Xenopus tropicalis: one gene and its partners. The protein of the gene in region 3 interacts with the protein of the main gene of each other region in a biochemical or structural test. Links are inferred from orthologs where the notes say so. Each region holds a gene or a part of one and is shown on either strand. Other genes may lie near its edges.

Evidence for each region. The genes of interacting proteins can lie anywhere in the genome.
Region 1: the proteins of anapc11 (region 3) and ube2c form a complex in vitro, tested with the Homo sapiens proteins (66 studies listed by BioGRID). The link is inferred for Xenopus tropicalis from reciprocal best matches to the Homo sapiens genes ANAPC11 and UBE2C.
Region 2: of the proteins of anapc11 (region 3) and securin, one has a biochemical effect on the other in vitro, tested with the Homo sapiens proteins (3 studies listed by BioGRID). The link is inferred for Xenopus tropicalis from reciprocal best matches to the Homo sapiens genes ANAPC11 and PTTG1.

What each region holds. Positions count from the first base shown.
Region 1 is NC_030686.2:19,652,234-19,659,661, forward strand, and holds the start of ube2c (ubiquitin-conjugating enzyme E2 C), read left to right. Parts: upstream 1-3,367; 5' UTR 3,368-3,500; coding exon 3,501-3,601; intron 3,602-6,815; coding exon 6,816-6,843; intron 6,844-7,428. UniProt on the Homo sapiens protein: Accepts ubiquitin from the E1 complex and catalyzes its covalent attachment to other proteins. In vitro catalyzes 'Lys-11'- and 'Lys-48'-linked polyubiquitination.
Region 2 is NC_030680.2:46,747,307-46,754,784, reverse strand, and holds the start of securin, read left to right. Parts: upstream 1-3,417; 5' UTR 3,418-3,551; intron 3,552-7,221; 5' UTR 7,222-7,225; coding exon 7,226-7,307; intron 7,308-7,478. UniProt on the Homo sapiens protein: Regulatory protein, which plays a central role in chromosome stability, in the p53/TP53 pathway, and DNA repair. Probably acts by blocking the action of key proteins.
Region 3 is NC_030686.2:27,900,788-27,908,414, reverse strand, and holds anapc11 (anaphase-promoting complex subunit 11), read right to left. Parts: upstream 4,401-7,627; 5' UTR 4,377-4,400; intron 4,235-4,376; 5' UTR 4,228-4,234; coding exon 4,119-4,227; intron 2,136-4,118; coding exon 1,990-2,135; 3' UTR 1,876-1,989; downstream 1-1,875. UniProt on the Homo sapiens protein: Together with the cullin protein ANAPC2, constitutes the catalytic component of the anaphase promoting complex/cyclosome (APC/C), a cell cycle-regulated E3 ubiquitin ligase that controls progression through mitosis and the G1 phase of the cell cycle.

The DNA.
Region 1 (7,428 bases), about 8.2 Mb from region 3:
TCAGGTATTGGTCCATAGGAAAAAAATCAGTGGCTTCCAAACCTGTCCTTGGGCAACAGTACATATTATATGATCCTTAGCAGCACAGGTACATCATTAATTAAGATATCCAGAAAACAAGATAGTTGGAGGGCCCTGAGGACAGGCTGGGGATATGCAGTTATATGCAGACTTGCTTAGATAACTCAGACTTGCCAGCCACTGGGATGATTAAGTGCAAAGAACACTTTCAGGCTATTCTGTAGTGTGTGATAGGAGGTGATTTCAATGGATATGGCGTCACCCCCAAGCTGGTGAAAAAATTATTCTGTTTGCCATTGCATTAATGAAGGGGAATATGACTGGCAAGCTACATTGCTGCATGGCATAACAGATGTCTTTCAGCTGCACTGTCCACAGGGGCATCACTAATGCAATTTTATGTAAGGGGCATTGGAACAGGAGGAGGGGCCTCATGTATACCTGTGTTTTATGTACAGTAGCTGTTTGCTAGACTCTAAAACAAACTGTGGCAGCTCACACATAAATGAAGAAAAGTTATGTCAAATATACACAGTAAGCTGTAAACACCTCTCTAAAAACATTTAAGTGGAAATGGATGGAAGATAATTGCTGCTTATATACAGGTAATATATAGGTGGTGAGACGGGTGCTGCTGTGGATGGCTCACTGCTGAGAATACAAAAGGTTGTGATTTTAAAAAGGACTATTGCATACATATGCCCTTTTTCTGCCAATCCAGTATAGCAGGGCCAGCCTTAGGTCAATTGAACCTATTGGGCCCAATAGGGCCCCACTCCAGGGGGAGTAAGCACATAAAGCTGTCTATCCCGCCCCCAACAATAATTGCCCAATAATACTGTTATGTGTTCTGGGACATTAAACCCCCCCTTTCACTGTGTATAGTGTGTTGGAGGGACCAATCACTCTCTCTCGCTGTATGTAGTATGCTTGGCGTGTCAGTGCACAGTGCTTGGGGCCCACATTGTGCCATGAAATGTTGGGGGCCAATGGAACAAGAGAAAGTGGTGAAAAGGAAGGGTTACACCATCAGTCACATAGTAAGAGGCAGGAACTATTTACCCATACATTCCTGGAACCCTGTGCCAGCTGACAACACTTTGTGCAGGGGGCCCGCCAGAATGGTTCCAATTTGGCCTTGCAGTTTATAAGACCAGCCCTGCACTATAGGTGAGCTGTGTCTTTGTTTGCATTACAATTCCATCTACCATTATTTAGTGTATCAGGCATCATTCCAAACATTCCCAAACAGCACTCACTTGAGCTGGGAGCTCAACTAAAACCACATTGTTTGCACATTGCGAAATCAAGTGATTTCCATTTGGTAATATTTGGATTTATGTTCCCAATTCTTCTACAAATGGCAGAACTGCCAAATGGAGTACTACATACAAACAGTCATTAAAAAAAGTTTGGGAACCCCTCTTAATTCTTTGGAGTTTTGTTTATCACTGGCTGAGCTTTCAAAGTAGCAACGTCCTTTTAATATATATATATATATATATATATATATATATATGCGCCTTATGGAAACAGTAGTGACATAAAGTTTATTAGATTAACAGAAAATATGCAATATGCATCATAACAAAATTAGACAGGTGCATAAATTTGGGCACCCCCACAGAGATATTACATCAATACTTAGGGGCTGATTTACTAAGACACGAATTCCGACTGAATTGGAAAAATTCCGATTGGAAAACGAACATTTTGCGACTTTTTCGTATTTTTTGCGATTTTTTCGGCGCCTTTACGACTTTTCGGAAATTATCGCGACTTTTTCGTTACCAATACGATTTGCGCAAAAAAACGCGAGTTTTTCGTAGCCATTCCGAAAGTTGTGATTTTTTCGTAGCGTTAAAACTTGCGCGAAAAGTTTCGCTTTTTTCGTAGCGTTAAAACTTAAAAGGCGCGACGTTTTGCGCAAGTTTTAACACTACGAAAAAATCACAACTTTTTGCGCAAGTTTTAACGCTACGAAAAAATCACAACTTTCGGAATGGCTACGAAAAACTCGCGTTTTTCCGCAAAAATCGTATTGGTAACGAAAAAGTCGCGATAATTTTCCGAAAAAATCGCAAAATACCGATCATTACGAAAAAAACGCAATCGGACGCATTCGGCCTGTTCGTGAGTAAGTAAATGGGCCCCTTAGTTGAGCCTTCTTTTGCAAATGTAACAGCCTCTAGACGCCTCCTATAGCCTTTGATGAGTGTCTTGGTTCTCGATGGCGGTATTTTTGACCATTCACCCATACAAAATCTCTCAGTTAAATTTGATGCCTGTTGAGCATGGAAGTTTCCTCTCAACGCAACTTCTGCGATTTCAGTGAAATCGCGCCACCACGTATGCCATCCCACCGGCGATTTACACTTTCGCCGGTGGGATGGCATTTCTGGGAGATTAGTCGCCCGGGAACAGGGAGATTTGTCGCGGGCGACTAAGCTCCCCGTGTGCCAGAGCCCTTAGGAAAAGTTGGGGAAATTGCTTGTAGCATCAGGAGACTGGGGGAGGGACAGTGCAATTAAGTAACTACCCAGATTATAGGGGGAGTTGCAGAGCTGTCAACCTCCGATAGTCAAGGATGTGCAGTGTTATTTTTTCGTGCTAACCAGAAGTGATGTCAATACATGTGCATAACTGACCTTTGAAGCTGAAAAATTGTTGATTGCGCATATGCAAATGCTCACTATGTTGTCACTGAATGCACATGCATGAATTTAATGAGAAAAATCAGAATGCTATCAACAGACCAGAGACATGGGAGAGAAAGCCAAATTGGGTAACTCAGAAAAATATAGGGGGGTTGACAGCTCTGTGTAAGCACATATGGGGACTCTTCAGTGGAAGATTATTTTAGTTTCCCCCTTGCTGGACAGACTTTTACATGGGGTGGAAAGGGGTGGTATGACAGGAACAGTTTATGGCAACTACTCTGTAACATTAGAGAAGTACTGCTCTCCTTCTAATGACTTGACTGGGTTAGTTAACATCCTTGTTACAAGAAAACGTCAAACGATTGAAATTTGAGCAAAGGTATTTTATACTTTTCACGTCGTAATAAAAACAAAAAGTATAATAAAAAGTATAACTTCAAGATAATACTCTTTCCTGACAGAACTTTCCCACACACGTATTATTTATTTATTTATTTATTTTGATAGGCAACGGAATTCTTCCAATCACAATAAAGCATAGCAGTCTACTTTAGCCAATCCCGTACCTTTGTTTAAAACGCCTACGCTTCCGACACCAAACTTGCCAGTCTCTGCGGAAACCGTTCTGTGAGCATTCCGATTGGTTAAATTAAATATTTAAGCGACGCTGATTGGACGCTTTGTGTAGAAGTTAAAAATTTCAAATAGAGGGCGGTAGGTTTAGTTACAGAATTAAGAGGAAGCGTCAAAGATCTCTGGGAGTGGAAGCCGGATACTCAGCAACGTTCAAGGCCCGGTTTTTGTCATTTTTACATACCGATGGCTTCACAGAATGTGGATCCAGCTGCGGCCAGCTCGGTGACTGCAAGGAAAGGACAAGAGTCGGGGACCTCGGCCGCCCGTGGCTCTGTGGGAAAGAGGTGAGGAGAGCCGGCTCTTGGGAACAATGGCCGCTGTGCTTATGGCGATGGCAGTGTAGCTGGATCTTGGCACACCCTCTGTATAATTCAGATGGGTCACTTGAGATATTTTGCTATCAAATTTTATTCAGCTTATAGCAGCTATATCTCTGTTTTCTAAACTTCATTCATTTTACGTATCTCTTCCACTGCTTAGTTACAATATACAGGTTTTCTCTACTCCCTTTAATATCCGCTACATTGTCTACAGTGTCACATCCTGTTTTTGGTCCAGATCTGTGGCTGCCATGGTTAGTAAATTGTTCTGATCCAGCTTGCAGTCAAATGAGTTTAGAGTTTAGTGTCAGTTCTAAAACCAGTCCAAAAGTCTGAAAGTAGCCCAAAAATAGGCCAAAATGTGCAAGTATATATGGGAAACATGCCTTTTTAAAGCGTATAATCACTACCCAGTTACTGGGAATGCTGATAATTCCCTGACCTCTGTGCCCAGTCCAGCTGGGAAGACTACAAAATTAGATTCCGAATGTTGCATTAACCCCAGACATGAGATACATATGGGTGTGCTGAACTACAACTCTCAGCAGTCCCAAGATATCCGGAGAGTTATATCTTAATGATCAACTGCAGAACTGCCCCCACATCACAGCAGAAAGTAATAGTACAATCACATACCCTATAGAGCAGGTTGCAGAATATACAGGTTGACCCTGAAAGAGCAAAAAGGAATACAAAACAGAGCCTCTATCTATACTGTCCAATTGCATGCTGGGTATTGTAGTTTTATATTAATCCTAACTGTAGATTAAGGCTCCAAAAAATAGCCCCAAACTGTTCCTTGGTGGGTTTGTACCTTGGAAACCTGCCAGGGCTTTAAATTGGTAGCCCAATTTTGCAGAAACACCAACCTGGCAACTCTGCTGCAAGTGTGGCCATTAAGGAAAGCACCATTGACTTGGGGAGGGGGGTAGGCAATATGTAAGACACCCCCACCCAATGGCTGTAATTGCTTAAAGCCTTAAACAAAGGTAGTGTTATTTTACATGCCATCCCAGGCAGACTTCAGCTGCTAATTTGGCCACTTCAGACCTAGTCTGTAGCTTATCTGCCTATGTATGGGGCCTTCAGACTGTCTGAAACTGGATCAGACATTGATAATGCACTGACTTGGTGTGCCATTCACTGGGGTGGGGGGGGGGGGTTGCAGTCATGGTCCTGTAGCCAGAGGGTGTTTGGGGTAAAGGATTCTGGTCTAAATCTAGAATAATAAAATCATATGTCTAAAGGTGGCCACACACCTTTTTGAGATGGGTCAGTCTATCGGACTGGACGACCTTTTGGCTAACAAAGTGTAGTATCGAAATGAGAAACACTTGGTCCTCTGGCCTTTAGGTTGTCAGGCGGAAGCTTGATGAAAGCAGAGGAGCTGTGTTCCCATAAGGGAATGCCTGACATATTTTAGTTGGGGACTTTGCACATGCACCTTCTGCTTAATTATGCTTAACTTAATTTGCCCTGGCAATTAGGACGGCGGGAGGCATTTTTCTTTTTGGCCGCCAGCTGGAGCCTTACCAAGGCAATCCATGGCATTGCACTCGCACACTTCAGCACCTGTCTTGTTTGATTTGTGCACCATGGATTGGTGTCATAGTCCTCTGGGTTTGACCCCAGGCCAAGACCTGATGGGTCTCACACTAGCTTCGGCAAAGGTGGACGTACCCGCCCATGCTGTTCATTGGTGAAAGCCTTGGACACATGAGCATTGGAGCCCAAGCCTTCACATAGGACTCACGCAATGAGTCAATATTATCATCAGCCTGGTGGAGCATGCACAGAAGAGGAACTGGAGATTTTGTTCATTAGAGTGCGTGTCACTGTTGACCTCCAGATTCCCTTCCCTGTATAAAACCATCAGCAAATGGCAACCTTAGTTTATGGTTGCTATAGCTGCCTGCTGATTGTGATTGCACCGATCTGCAATCTTTGTTTTCTCCAGTGATGGTTCTGTCTTCTCCCACTTCCCCAGCTGCCTGCTACTGCGCAGAAATGGCTAAATTGGCTAAATATTTAAGTTCATTTCTAGTATGTTATAGAAAGGCAAATTATAAGCAGCTTTTCAAGTGGTCTTCATTTATTTTTTTTTATAGCTTTTGCCTTCCAACTCTTTGCAGCTTTCAAATAGGGGTCACTGACCCCAGCAACCAAAAAACTATTGCTCTGTGAAGCTACAGTTTAATTGTTGTTGTCAGATTATATTTCTCTATTCAGGTGTTCTCCTTTTCAAATCAGTCTTTCATTCAAATCACACCCTGGCTGCTAAGGTAATTTGTATCCTAGCAACCAAATAGCTGCTGAAACTCCAAGCTGAAAAGCAAAAGCTGAAATAATCTACAAATTTGCAATTGGTCTTCATTTTTAATTCTCAGAATATTACTATCTACATTATACTTAAAGTTAACTCAAAGATGGACAGCTTCTTTAAGATGTAATGGAAGGCAATATGGTGGCCGCAAGTTCAGCTGGCCAGAATAGTTTAAAGCCCAAACAGGGATAAGGTATGTATTGTGTTTAAAAAAAAAAAAAAAAAACTTGGCTATTAGGTTGAGAAAATGTAGATCAAACCAATGGTGACTAGTTAGAGGGTTAACTTGTCCCTCTATGTGCAACAGAACCAATTGATAAATCTCCCCTATATTCATATAAAGCACATTAATACCAAGTGAAGCATAACATCTCAGCTGGTAGATATCCATTATTTACCCATATTGTCTATGACCATAATATTCCAATTCTAAATCACTTAGTCCTTTTGCCATTGCTATAATTTTATTAGCAAAATTACTCTTTGCCCCTTATTTTTACTACCAGTTACTTAAGGAAGCCTATCAATTATGTATACTTATTGTCAATAGCCATAAATATTGTACCGTGAGGCATCCATTATTTATTGCTGCTGTCCATAATGCTGCCTTTATCCCTCCATGGCGAATGCTAGCATCTGTCTCCATTATTTTGGGCTTAACAAGTAAGTTATTAACATTCAAAAAGCCTAATGTCTAGTGACTCTTCTTCCCTTCTGCCGGGATCTGCTGTTCTTAGAGGGCCATGCATGAAAAGATTGCCTGCCAAAGACTGCCACACCCATAGCAAATTCTTATTGTGAGTGTGATTTGTAGCAAAGCTTAAGTGCCCACCTATTTTCTTTCTTCTCTCGTAGGTTACAGCAGGAGCTGATGACCTTAATGGTGAGTGTAAACTTTATGTGCATACAATGAGGATAGTACTTGTGCTTTATACTTTTTAAAGGGAAATTCTGACTTACCAACCAAAGTTTTGTAAGAGCCACACACAACACCAAAACTCTTAATATATATCACTGTAATATGTTCCTTCAAAAAATGAATATAACTTTTATATGCTGAAAGCCATCTGCAAAACAGTTCCTTGCATCATTTGAAATCCTGGCAGGGGAGAAGGGACTAAAACATTGATGTTACAAATTGTAACAACTTTCCAAATTTTACAGACAGCATGTGGAAACTACATAATCCACAATGCATTGCACCGTGGCGTTCCTTTCCTTAATGACATGTTTGCAGGGAATTGTGGGATTTAGAGGATGCAGGCGGTGGAGAGTCAACTACTGTTTTATTTAAATCTCACATTTGTCTGCCAGATCATTAGGAGAACAGGGGGCAAGGCTTATGGAGCCATTCCAAACCATGTTACATTAAAATTCATGAAACTGCTGTGTTTTAAGTTGATCTATATTGCAAAGTTGCTTGAAATTGTTTACTTTTTAAAAAGCTTGTTTTGTATGGGTGGAATTC
Region 2 (7,478 bases), on a different chromosome or scaffold from region 3:
TCTTCTGTCCCTGCAGTTACGTGAGTGCATGTGGGGCCCTCCTGCCGGTCCCTAGTCCCCCATTTCCTGGGCCTGAACTCGGACACTGCTTGGCCGCCTTCCACCCAGTCTATGCCCACCTGGTCGGCACTGACCTGCTCAGTCCTAGACCGACATAAACTACTGGGTTCTACCCACATACCCTACCCCTCTGGGCACACCCTCTGTTTAGTAGCTGCCTTAGGGGCAACCGGTACTGTCAGCAATCCCTCCTTGACTCTGACTACCCGCCCCCCTCCCAGTACTTGTTCTGGCACTGCAGCTATACCTGGCTCCCAGCTACCATCCTTGACCCCAGTCTGAGTGGCACTACTTACTAGGACCCTACTCTGAGTCCTAACCACCTGTCCCCCACACTCCTGCACTGACTCCTGAGTCTGGCCTATCTACTGACCCCCACTCAAGACCTCAGGCAGTTTGGGTACAGGATCAGGGATCCCATGCTGGTTATCCCTCACTGCAGGTAAACTACCTGACTGCACCAGGGAGACTCCTAGGGGAAACCTCTCCTCCCCCTCTCCCTCCTTACCCCCACTTTGGGACACTGCTGTTTCAGGCACTGTTTGACACTCTCTCCTGTCTTCCAGTCCTCACTCCCAACTATCCCTCCGTACCTTACCAGTGGCAGTTACTGATTGAGTTGAGTGGTCACACTCCAGCGCGGCTGGACCTAGTGAGACCTGGTCATTGGGCACAAAAGCAGAGAACATATTCCCCAAATCATTCCCTAACAATACATCGACAGGAATCTCATTGGACACTCCCACTTCCCTTAGACCTCTCCTCACACCCCAATCCAAGTACACCTTGGCCACAGGCACCTTTGGGTGGTCGCCACCCACCCCCTTTACAGACAAAGTCTTCCCAGGAATAATGTCCCTAGTGTTGATAATCTCTGGACGCACCAGAGAAAAATTGGACCCTGAGTCTCTTAGGCTTAGGTTTTTGCTAGTTCAACACCAGGTGGATTCACGGCCTCTGGACAGTCGACATCTGAGGCTCTGCCCCTATGCTCCTAACTGCTTCCTAATGTGCCTGCACCTGGGGGTACTCTTTCGGCCTGGGTGCAGGCATATGGATCAGGTTTCACTGAGAAACTGCATACTTCATGCCAAAATCAGCAGCCCCGTGTAGCCTGATGCAATGACTCCGGGTGCAGGCATATCAGTAAGATCAAACCTCCCAACATTTGAAAAATGAAAAGTGGGACAAAAAGATTTGGCGCGCACAGCGCGGCAAATTTCTTTGACCACGCCCACTTTTGTGGCCATGCCCCAATTGCCCCATTTTTTTTAAAAAAAAATACTTATTTTATATAGTTGAAATGGTGGGATTAGACACAAAATGTGCTTTACCCTCATACAGTACTACCTAAGGAAAACAATATAGCAACTCCTACATATAAAATACAAATATAGAGAGAAGGCAGTCAGTTATACATGAGTTATAACTATGTACCAGTTTTGCACCCCCCCTTAAATAGTTCCCCCAATGGCCCAATAGACAGTACCCCCCATACACAGTGCCCCCATAGACAGTACCCCCCATAGAAAGTGCCCCCAATTGCCCCATGGACAGTACCCCCAAAGAAAGTGCCCCCATACACAGTATCCCCATAGGAAGTACCCCCCATACACAACCCCCATAGTAAGTTCCCCCAATTGAGACAGTACCCCCCATACAAAGTGCCCCCAATTGAGACAGTACCCCTCATACACAGTGCCCCCCCATAGACAGTACCCCCCATACACAGTGCCTCCTTCTTCTTCAGCGGCTCCTCTCCTTATGCGGCTTCTTATACGGCGGCGACAGGCCCTTTTATAAGGTTGTGCCCCGTGCGTATGTGTGACGTTAATACGCACGAGGCGCAACCTTATAAAAGGGCCAGTCACCACCGCACAAGAGGCCGCATAAGGAGAGGAACCGCTGAAGAAGGAGCACCTCCCACTGAAATAAAGTGCCCCCATAGACAGTACCCCCCATACACAGTACCCCCCATACACAGTACCCCCATAGGAAGTACCCCCCATACACAACCCCCCATAGTACATACACAGTGCCCCCATAGGAAGTACCCCCCATACACAACCCCCCATAGTAAGTTCCCCCAATTGAGACAGTACCCCCCATACACATTGCCCCCAATTGAGACAGTACCCCCATACACAGTGCCCCCAATTGAGACAGTACCCCACATACACAGTGCCCCCCCATAGACAGTACCCCCCATACAGTGCCTCCTTCTTCTTCAGCGGCTCCTCTCCTTATGCGGCTTCTTATACGGCGGTGACAGGCCCTTTTATAAGGTTGTGCCCCGTGCGTATGTGTGACGTTAATACGCACGAGGCGCAACCTTATAAAAGGGCCTGTCACCACCGCACAAGAGGCCGCATAAGGAGAGGAACCGCTGAAGAAGGAGCACCTCCCGCTGTCACGGATACTTCAATGAATGTCCAGCATTTCCGTAATCTATTACGGAAATGCGGGACATTCATTGACCTATCCGGGACAGCGGGATGCGCTATTAAAACCGGGACAGTCCCGTGGAAAGCGGGACAGTTCGGGGGTATGGTAAGATCTTTACCCCCATATGTAATGAAAGGCACTAAGTTTACCCATTAGCAGTAACCCATAGCAACGAATAAGATGTTTGCTTTTAAACAGGTGACCAGTACATTTTATTTGCTGGTTGGTTGCTATGGGTTACTGCTCCTGGGCAAACATAGTGCAATTAACTACATAATCCCTTTACAGAGCTGTCAGCTATGTTAGCAGGGGGAATTGGAGCCTGAAAATTTGTTCCTGCGCCCTAAATTCATCACTGAACTTTGTTTGACTTCCTCAAAATCGGGAGAATCCTGCTGGGGGACAAGTGACCAGGGAAGAATCTTCAAAATCAGGTAACTCTTGAAGAAATGGGGGGGGGGGGGGGAGGTTGACAGAGCATAGGGGTGGATTTGTGTGGCACTAGCCTTATATAGGCCCTCTACCGTTTATATTCTATTATCTCTTCAACATAGCTTTCTGATTGGTATGGGGGGAAAAAATTCAACAACCACAATGAATAAAACATGCAAACCAATTACAAATTGTCTTTTAATTTTACTGTCTGCATCTTAAAAATATAAAAATTAAAGTTAAAACCCCACTAAACAAACTTTTAAACATGCAAATATATAGAAGCCACATTTATGCAGAGAATACTATAGAAATCTTTGAGTGTATTGTATCCAAACGTGGAGAAAAACGTGTCTGTAGTTTTGCAACTGCCTTCCCCTTTCACAACGATTCATGATATCAAAGCCGTTAGTAAAAGGGCGGGGAGCTTTACAGGTCTTCAGCCAATGGGAAGACAACTTTGTGTTTAAAAGCCGCAGGACTGGGTGCTGCACGGTCAAGTCTTTGAGAAGTATTTTCAGGTGACGGCTACTAGACGCGGCTTCTCTGTTTTGTGGGTGGCTACTGATTCTGATTTCTAGCTGGCCTTGTTTGGTAACCGCAAGAAGTTACAGGTAGTTGTGGATGCTTGATTAAATTTCACTTTCCCAGCCTGGTGCTTTGATGTTCTTTACTCTTACCGTAAGTCACGAGGCGAACCGGCGTTACTTTCTTGGTCCGTGAGCAAGCGTAACGTTGTGTCGTGTGTTGCCTTTGCGCTGGCGGGTAAAGGCCGTTTGTGTGTGTGTTTTTTTTTGTTTTTTTGTTTTAACTTGCAGTTCTGTGTAGTGGCGTATATCTAGCCAAATCTATTGTCTGTAAGTTTAACTGTACTGCTTATGACTCTTGTCCCTAGAGACATCCAGTGACTGAAGTGGGGATGCAGTAAACGAGGGTTTTTTTTCTCTCCCACCCTACACCCAATCCCATATTTTATTGATTACAGCACAGCTTTGAATTATGTATTCCGATTGAGTGTTCTTAAAGGGCAAGAAACCATAGACTCAGGGGGCACTAATGTTATGTACCCCATGAATTGTAGTTGTTTGTTCATTGCCCTGTTCTTCATTTACGTGAAAATAGCTCTGTGCCACATTATACCTTTTCCAAATGGCTCCCTAGACTTTCATAAAATGAATTTTTTTTAATTTTTTTTTTTGCGCTTATGGTACATGGCTAGACAAACATCTAGCTTTTTGACCTCTTACAAGACACAAAGCTGAATATTTTCTACTTTGCACTTTCTTGCATTTTGTCTCTTATGGTACAGGTATAGGACCCATTATCCAGAATGCTCGGGACCAAGGGTATTCCGGATAAGGGGTCTTTCCGGAATTTGGATCTCAACACCTTAAGTCTACTAAAAAATCAATAAAACATTAATTAAACCCAATAGGGTTGTTTTGCATCCAATAAGGATTATTTATATCTTAGTTGGGATCAATTACAAGGTACAGTTTTATTTCTACATAGAAAAAGGAAATCCGTTTTACAATTCTGAATTATTTGATTATAATGGAGTCTATGGGAGATGGGCTTTCCGTAATTCGGAGCTTTCTGGATAACGGGTTTCCGGATAAGGGGTCCGATACCTGTACTAATGTCTAGCTTTGTATTGTGTTCTAGAGATTATTCCCACTGCAATCCACCTTGTCCTACACAAGGGGGAATTCACAAAAGTGGTGATAATGAGACAAAATAAAAGTGGAGGGAGATTTGTTGGATTTTCCACCTAACTCTCAAATCTCTATCTCCACTTTTGTGAATTTGTTTTTTAAACAGGCAGCTTTCAGATTTTGTCCTTTTGCCAACATTTTATAAATTTGCTTTTAGCTCTTCGTAAATCTGTCGTCATCAAACCCAGTCCCACAGCTACATGAACCATGGAATAAGGATTTTGCCAGCAGTATTTGTCATTTCATTTTGGGGGTATTTCCTGAAGGGAAACTATACATCATTTTCAAGACAAGCTGGGCTTTCTAATGTGTTCTATATTTGTGTAATTCCACTTCTGTAACAAGATTTAAGGGTCTAAATAGCTTCTTCTCTAGCCCCTACTGACCAGCAGCAACATGCTTGGTAAAAAGGGGCCCAACTGGACTAAGACCCACCAGGTTTTTATCCAGGGCCAGTCCAACCCCAATGTCCCAGTTTGGGTGCCAGTGTGTATGTGCTATTTTCTGATCACCAAGATGGCAGCTGGGAACAGAAGGGGCACAGCTAAAGGTGGGGGCCAATGCAGCTCTGTAGTTCTGGACATGCTATGAGGGCTCAAGTTAGTTGCAACAAGTGTCAGTGAAGTGATTAAAGAGGGGGGCACTGCTGCTAAAAATTTGCCTGGAGGCTTTACTTTTCCTTTAAATAAAAATGTATACAATGTTATTATTGCCTCATTGATTAAGCTAAAACAAGCATAATCATGCAAATGCGAGGGGGGGGGGAATGAAACATATGTGCAGTATGAAGCAAGGAGGGAAAGGAAGGGAGAATACCTTTTTTAAAGATGGCTGCCTGTTCAAGAAAACAATGTGAAGTAAGTGTGACTCAGTAAATATTTGATTAGGTGAGCCAAAAGTGTGGCGGTTTTACTAAACAATAGGAGGACTATTGGGCAGTATGCTTTTTATATTTTGACTTGCATTCTCCTTTAAAGTTTGGTGCATCCTCTTCAATTATTTCCTTTTTAAAATGGGTTTTTCATGAAATTTCTCTGAATTCTCTGGTTCCTCCTAAGGCTAATGCCACATGAGCATTTTCTCGGCAAGCCGAAGAATGCTTGCTGAGAATACGCCCCGCTACTGTAAATTTAGCCTACCTTGTGCCTGCACCCAAATGAATGGAATGGCCTCTGGTGCAGGCACATGTGGCAGATATCCGCGTAAAAATGTGAGCCTTCGTATTTTCGTCGGATATCGGCTACATGTGCCTGCACATTCATTCGGATTGGGGCGCAGGTAGCAGCGTATGGCTTTATTTTTGGCAAGCGTTTTTTGTCTTGTCAAAAATATACGCCATAAGCGAAGTGCCATTGTCCTAAACCATTGGGGAGGGGTTGGTCTTTTTAATTTGGAAAGCAAATGCATTATTTATTTTTTAAATAATTATCCCAATGAAAGCAAAAAATTCATAGGTTGTCCTGGGTTACTGCCCAGGTGCACATTTGCCCACTCTTTACAAATGAGCCTCTAATTATATTGACCTAAACATGAGTGGAACACCATTATGCAGGACAGTTATTGGTGCACTGGTAACTGTTTTTGCAAGAACCTAACCTGAAACAGCTTTGGTTTTCCTGTTTAAGTGAGGAAATGTTTTAATGTGATTAAAGTAGGCAAGTGTGTTCAGCACAAGCCTTGTTGTTTAAACTGTTTGAGTAAAGGCATATACTTCTCAAATTTTGTAAAGTAATATAATGTGGATCATAATGTTTTATCTAGACCTTGTGGACCTCTGTGTGACTGTTTGCATGCTAAAACCTTTGTATTATGACTAGGTTTCATGCTTGGCAAGTGTAATTCCTACAGCCCAATTGGAACTTTAATGGCAGGTCACATGGTTTGGTAGCTTATTGTTTATATAGCTACTACAGTACTGTTTTTATTGGTGCCAGACTAACTGTACAGACTGTAAATCGTAAGTCACTGAAGTAACTTGATAAAGAAATTGTAGCTTATAACTTGCTATAGAATTAAACAATTTTTTAATTGGTATTGAGTTATTTACCATTTGCCAGTTATCTGATGGGGGTCACTTGCACCAGTAACCAAATGTTCTGCTATTTTATACAGTCTTATTACCCTAGCAACCATAAACTTGTTTAGAAATTCCTTGAATATTCCTGTCTCAGTCTGTCTATGTAAAGGTGAACTGCTCCTTTAGTAGTAATGACCACTTTGCCATCTGTCATTTCTAGCTTGTTGGCTAAATTCTAAATACCCTGACTAGCCCCTAGTGGTGATTGCACTAATACTGCAGGTGTATTCCTGATTGCTTGACCTGCAACTGCACCAACAGCAATTACCAGTCTAGGATATGCAAGGGGTAATTTGAACATTTTTCCACCTGTGAGCTGTAAATCATGTGGGTGGCAAAACAGACACCAATAAAAAAAAAAATAAAAACATTTTTTTGGCAGACTAAGTGAGAATTTTATTCAGAGCTATACTGTGTTCTTAGAATCATAATGTCTGTAAAGCTTAATCTTTAAGATTGGATGGCAACTGACTGTAGTTTTTATGCTTTTAGCAAAATGGCAACTATAGTTTTTGTCGATCAAGAGAATGGTGATATTCGCAGCATGTTGCCTAAAGATCATGGAACATTCTTGAGCTGTAAGTATCTTGCCAGAACTGTAGCACACTTGGACTTGCATGGTTCAATTAATGGGGGGGGGGGACATAATCCATGGTAATAAGCTTGCTGAACATGTGGAGATATATATATATATATATATATATATATTAAAACAAAGGGTATAGCCGCAGTGACTTTACAGTTTGCAG
Region 3 (7,627 bases):
ATGCATAATTTATGCTCCAATCAGCATAATATGTTTAACATAACCAGCAATGTGTCAGGGATCTCACGAAGGTAAGGTGTTAATTGCATTAGCATTAGAGCTTTGATGTGTTATTAAACCATCCAGGAAGAGGTGCCAAAACAGCATTGTAAGTTGCAGACAATGATGGAGATGGACTTGGAGATAATAAACTTGGATGTAACAAGCAATGCCAGGCAGCAGCTGCAAGGGAGAAAAAATATTTTTTGACTGTATAAAAGGGTATAGGTTTACAGTAGAGAGTAATTCTTCCCCTAAACAAATCACCGGTAAGGCCCCATCTAGAATATGCCATGCAGTTTTGGTCTTCAGTGCTCACATTGGATATTATTGAGTTATAAAGAGCCCAACAAAGGGCAACTAAGCTGGTAAATTGTGTGCTTATTCTCAGTTATTAAAAACACCTGGCCAAGTAAGGGCTGTTTATCCTGCAGAAGATGTGTCTGAGGGGAGAAATAAAAACTATGTATAAATATATATAGATATCATATAATAAAATCTCTGATCCTTTATTTAAGAGTCGGTCCCAGCAAACATAAGAGCATCCACTGAAGTTAGAAAAAAAGGTGGTTTCATCGTAATATTCAAATTGTGCTTTTCTACAGCGACAGCTGTGAAGTTGTGGAATTTTCTCCCTGAATCAGTCGTACTGCCAGATACATTTGCTAGCTTAAAAAAAAGTGTTGCGGTACTTCAATGGCAGGAAAGCAATTATCCTATCCTGGAAACTAGCCACAGCCCCCACCCTAAAACACTGGAAATTTTTGGTTAACGAAGCTCTCCAACTTTACAAGCTAACCTATATGAGCACGAGGTGCCCAGATAAATATAAAAAAGTCTGGGGCCTGAGGATAGATGAATTTGCAACAGCCACTGACCAAAATAACACCCAATATGAAATAGTGTATAAGTGCTCTGTTATTTACTGACCCTCGCCCCACAGCCTGCCTCCCCCATCCCCCAACTCCTCACTTATATCTTCCTATAAGATGTTAAAATTGTTTGACCAGTTGCTGGTTGTTCCAGTCCTATTCAGCAAACTTGGGTAGTATCAAATTATTGTCTACAAGAGGATGACCAATGTATCTTAGATCTGACAGTTACTGTTTGTTAATGGTGTACTGAAAAAAAAAAAGAATAGGTTGGATGGCTTTTTAGTAAGTAATAAAATGCAGGAATACTTGGGAGTCAGTAAAAAAAAATTTCTCCACTCTGTGGAATATTAGAGATAGGGTTTTCAGCCTTCTGGATCATATAGCAGTTGTGAAGGTTTCATTTAGAGACAGAAAAGTTGAACTCAATAAACTGTTCATCCTAAATTACAATAATACTATTACCTGGGTATATTCTCTGCACTCCTGGCTCTGTTACATGCAAGGGGCAGTTTAAAAAAAAACAAAACAAAAAAAAACAAAACAAAAAAAAACATTCTTGAGTATAAGAACAATTTAAAGATTCATAGAATATAGTATTTTTTTGTTTCTTTAAAAATGTACAAATGATCATTGTTGCGCACACAGCCTGCAGGAAATTAGATGTGACACTGATTAAGTGTCAACTGAAAGGAGAAGATGCTTTCCCTTGAGATTACATTTAAATATGAAAGCGAAGCTTCTATTTGGTATACTGGCAAACATCCCAGCATTTGGCTGACTCAGTATGTAGTTGAAACAATCCCTAGTTAACAGCACACTTTATGAAATATGGTATTTCTTCCAAAGGGGTCCATCCTGTTCTGTGTATAGATCACCTTTCTGGCGACTTCAGCTGCCATAATATTTGAATAACAATAGCCATGCCAGGAGCAATGGTGCAACTTAGATTTAAAAAAAATGATCCAGTAATAACTGTTTTTATTGGAAAAGATCATGGGGGAACAAGCACAACTATGATATTTACAAGAGATATAACAATCTTAATGGGTACTACATGGAACTAAATCTTTGCATTTCACTCTTTGAATTTCCATTCCTGACGACACATAGGGCAGTGCTGCTGCACCTGCTGGGAATTCAGCCATTTTAAGATGCAATGCATGTGGAAGCAGTGAGAGCAGTGACCCCACACCAATGGGCAGTCATCTCCTGGGATTTTACCTGCAAGGGCAAGAGTGAGAGACATTGAAGTATAGTGGCGTATAGGTGTCCTGAGAAGAACAGTGTTGTATAATATGAAGTAGTAAGTTATAAGGGGTGGTTCACCATTAAGTTAACTTTTAGTATGTAATAGAATGGTCTATTCTTAGATTATAGTTTTTGAATGATATGCCTTCTGCTAACTCTTTGCAGCTTTCAAATGGAGGTCACTGACCCCAGCAGTCAAAATCAATTGCTCTGTGAGGCTACAGTTTTATTATTTTTGTTACTTTTTATTGTTTATTTTTATATTCAGGCTCCTCTGTTCATATTGCAATCTCTCTTTCAAACCACTGCAAGGTTGCTAGGTTAAATTGGGACCTAGCAACCATATAGCCACTGAAAGCCCAACCCGAATTGCTGCTGGACAAGCGAAATAATTAAAAAACCCCAAATAATAAAAAATCAAGACCAATTGCAAACTGTCTCAGAATATTACTCTCTACATCATACTAACAGTTAATTCAAAGTTGAACAATCCCTTTAACTACTTGTAGGCATTATAGTACACTCTGCCTTGCTTTGCCATGTTTACCCTGTCTGCCCATTGCCTACCTACTTGCCTTGTTGTTTACCTGTGCTGTAATACAACTTCCATCAGTTGGCAAGCATCCCTCCTATCTAGCTCTGCTTCCTACTTGGATCCAATTGCATTTATATTGATCAGTGGCACCTAAGGCTCTTTTGACTCTCCTGCTCATGACAAGAAAGAAGTCAGCTGCATAAAGCCATAGGAAACAGCATGTTTTTATAGGAGAACTATACCCCCCGGGCGCAAAAAGCACCCATAACTATCACTGCCTAGACCCCTTCAACTCTCCCTAATCACATTGTTTTTAAGTTTAATGCCCACCACCTTCTTACTGACTGAAGACTCTTTGGGTCTCACCGCAGACACCGAACCTGCTTGCACATGTGCAGTTGAAGTGGATTTCCTGTTACCCCCAACTGCGCATGCACAAGCAGGTTCGTATCGGCGGAGAGACCCAAAGTGTCTTCAGTCAGTAAGATGATGTTGGGCAGGTAGGCGGCTGCGCTCCTCTGCATTATTAGCTATTGGTTAGAGATAGGGACAGACATTAAACTTAAAAACTTTGATAAGGGAGAGGTGAGGGGGGGGGGGTCTAGGCAGTGATAGTTATGGGTGCTTTTTGTGCCCAGGGGTATAGTTCTCCTTTAAGGAACCACATATTATTTGATGCCATAATGATTTAAAGGAGAAGGAAAGCCTAAGTCACTTGGGGGTGCCTAAATGTTAGGCACTCCCAAGTGACTTTAATCGCTTACCTTGTACCCTGGGCTGGTGCCCCTGTTAGGAGAAAACAGCACCAGCCCGGGGTAGCTGTAGCGCTTCCTTCTTCTGCGTTTGCCCCCTGCAATTAGAGTGAAAAGATGAACTTTGTTGTTAAAGTTCAGCTTTTCACTCTAATGCGCATGCCCCGGGCCAGGGAATTTGCCGCAGAATAAGGAAGCGCTGCAGCTACCCCGGTGCTGTTCTCTAACAGGGGCACCAGCCCGGGGTACAAGGTAAGAGATTAAAGTCACTTGGGGGTGCCTAACATTTTGGCACCCCCAAGTGACTTTGCCTTTCCTTCTCCTTTAAAGTGGTTCTTTATTTTAAACCTAATGCCAGAATAGCAGGGTGTCATGTTAGGATATCCCTATTAGTCAGAATACCTACAGCCTTGCTTACTTCAGAACAAGCAAGTAAAAACAGTAAAATGAGAAACAAAAATCATTTGTAAAGAAGCGAGGAATCTCCAATGTAACACTCACAGGCTTGTGTGCTAGCGGATTAAATATGTACAACTGTTCTAACATAAGGGATCCTCATTAGAATGTAAAGGGCTCCAGACTATAGAAACCCTGGCACAGGCCATGAAGCCATGTAGTAAGCCCCATTACAGGGCATGTACATAGGCCTATGCTCCTCTGAGCACTCACATTCAGGGCAGCAGCCATTAAATGCCATACGACAGATCCCACAGTTGTCATCATTAGCCACCCATTGCCAAGAGGCAACGCCATTCCAGCACTTCAAGCGAACCTTCATGACGAGCCTGGAAAACAGAAGCATATTGTAATGATGCACACAATCCTCATGAACTAGAATGCACAGGCCCCACTATGTGCAACTGCTAAGGGCCACACACAGCCTGCACTCCCATAATAAAAACACATAAAACCCATATCGCTACTTACACCTCCTGCAAATATGCTTACAGCCTCCTCACAGAGGACGAGCGTTACGACTACACGTAGCGCAGTGACGCACACGGAGCCGCCCAGTGGGCGTGGCCAATCGGTGTAACATAAGAGGGAAGTGCTGCTCGGTTGCGGTACATTCTCTCATCAAAATCTGTTCTTATTCTGCTCGCACCTTCTATTGTTTGAAAACAGAAAAGACGACTTTTGTGTTGTTTATCGCCATGGCTTGTGGCACCTTAGCTCCCAGTCTCCTTACAAATCATTTGTATTGGCTGTACAGAGCTTCTGCTTGTGCCATCAGAGAGACCTCTCCCGAACTGACCCAAATGGGAAGACGTTTTGTGCAAACTAGGGCAAAGTGAAATTGTAATCATTCTAGATTTTTATTTTAGTTTAATCCACGTTTATTGAACGTAATATGAATTGCAATAAAACTCAAACTCACAGATCTGCTTTACCGAGGCGTAATTATCCTAAAACCCTTTATGATTATATAATACCTTAATCTCAGGTAGCAGTTTATCTCGAAGAGTCAGCGACACACAGATTAATACTTAGTTCAACTGAAATGATAGCAGATAGATATTAAGTCCTGTTAAACAAAAGAATTTTGTAAAGGTCCCCATACAAGGCCGATTATAGCTGCTGATATGGGTCCCTTGGACTGATTTGGCAGCTTATCGGCCTGTGTAGGGGCAGAACCGAGGGGCCTGGCCTACCGATATCTGGCCTGAAATTGGGCAGATATCAATCGCCCAGGTTAGAAAATTCAGTCGGATCGGGGACCGCATCGGCTCGTTGATGCGGTCCCCGAACCGACTGCCCCATTGCTGCCCACATAATCCGATCGTTTGGCCCTAAACGCTCCCCGGTATCGCCCGCCCGTAGCGTGTATGGGGACCTTAACTGATCATAACACACATAGGGGCACATTCATTAAAGTAAGACAGGTCCGATTACAAAAAATTTGTACCAATTTTTGATCAGAAATTATGTTTTCTTGAAAGTACTTGACATATTTCTGATTGTCTTCTCTAATGGTGCATCTTTGTGTAAATTTATCCAAGTATTTTTGTACTTAAAATGACACATAATATTCTCATAATAGAAGACAATGGCTGCTAATCTATCAGCATGCCTGGTAAGCAGCAGACCATATCTGTTGACATCATTAAAAAAAACACCAGCTACACAAAAGATGCACAGACACACAGGATAGACCTGTCTTCTCCCGACATCCAAGGAAGAGCCCATAGGTGTGGAACAACAACCTTTTTACCTGCAGTAGAAGTTCTGCTCTAAGCTGCCACCTAATTACCTAACTGGCAGGGAATATTAACCCTATCTGCACTAGGTATCCACTTTATGTAACCTGTATTTCATACAAGTTAAAGGCATGCTTCCCTGTACATTTTCATGCCAGGCAGAATTTATATATAAATATATTAGTAGTTCTGTGGTGCAGAAATAATTTGTTGTGTATTAATTCTAGTGCCAAAATAAAAAAAAATAATTAGGACAAACAAGTTGGGAGGACCCAATTAACTAAATTAAATAATTTTTCTGGGACTGCCGCCAAATAGAAAAAAAGGCTATTGCAGAGTGCTCTAAAGAAACCAAGCAAAATCTTGTGTGTGGAGCAAATCCTTCTTCAAAATGTATGTGGTGCTCCATTTGGAACTACTCATAGAAGAATATCTGCACTTAAAACAAACAAATCCAAATGGCACTCACTTCGCTTAGCAATGTGCAAACAATGTGTAGTTTATTTTTCTACTACCATGTTTTTTTCTTATTTTCAAGCGCTAGCATAATAAAGAAATATAGTTGCAGTCGCATTTTTCACACAAATGAAAATCACACTGTTCAAACTGAAAATTTTGACTATTATAATCTGTGGGGATTTTTTTTCCTGCATTTTATCTTTAATAAATCACAACTTTAAATAAATTCTTGAGTATATTTGTGTTCATGTTTTTTTCTCAAATACCGAAAAACTCTGCCACTGTTCTATTGCATTTCAAAAAATGCACATAAAGATGTGCAAACTATAGAGCACTCAAAACTATTTGTTGTATGTTTAGAGAGCCAGCAAACGTTTATGGGTTGCCCCCTTCTTCAAGTGCTCTCTACAACCATGTAACCAAATGCCAGTATTTAAGGGATAGGCCCCACCCCAACCCACCCCCCAAATATGTGACCATACAGTGAAGAAATACAAATTCCTTACTTCCATAAAGAAATTTTTTTGTCATAAATCAAAGTATAGGGGCACATAGTCAGTTCATATTTAAGTCCAATAGTCAAGTCATATTAGAGACCCAATCAGTGCACTTAAAAGGAAGAAGTACATAATAAACTTAAAGATTAAATCATGCATCAATGAATAGTACCTAGATTACAAAGGAATGTTCAAATCCTGTATACCAAAAGAATTAGACCAAATTTACAGTAGAAGAAGCCTGAATAGGTAATGTTTTCATTGAATCCCTTTGGTGACAGGGTGTCCAATCTGCCTATCCACATGGTCTCCTTCTGTAGTAGCACCCTATTATGGCAATTGATAATCTGACACCACTTCCTCTTCCACCAACAGTGAAGCAGAAGGTGTAGGAACCCAATGTACACCAGAAAGGAATCATAGCCAAATCAGGCGAGGTAACACTGAGAGGAGTGTTTTTTAGGCAGAAATCTAGTGGACAGTTCTGTACCACAGGAGCAACGGTGCAAAGGTGGACAAGTTGGGGAAGGTGCCATTCATCAACCCTCAGCAGGTCCTACCAGAGCCAAAGTCAAAGTTGGCATAATTGATAAGGACACAAAAAAGAGTTTTTAATCATTGAATACCCAATGAAACCTGTACTGTACTTACTTAAATCCCCCAGGACTTGATAGCTGCATGTTTCTATGCACTGCTGATATATAATTGTTGTATACCAGCATGATGAAGGCTTTATGTACACTGTATATTTTTGGATATGAGTCGTGATTGCTAATATTTGAATTACTGCGGTTTATATTAACTTAAAATTATTTCAAATTTGGAAAAGAATTTTATGTACAGACACAGGGAACAAGCATGGGCAGTAATGTGGCTCCTAGCTACGCTAACATATATGTCTTGTTCATTAAACAGCACATCAGGATCATGTAACAACCCCATAAAGATGATTTATTACCCCCCCCCTTATTGCACAATAACCCTCTCACAGCCACACATATGTACATGCAGGCAGACTCACATT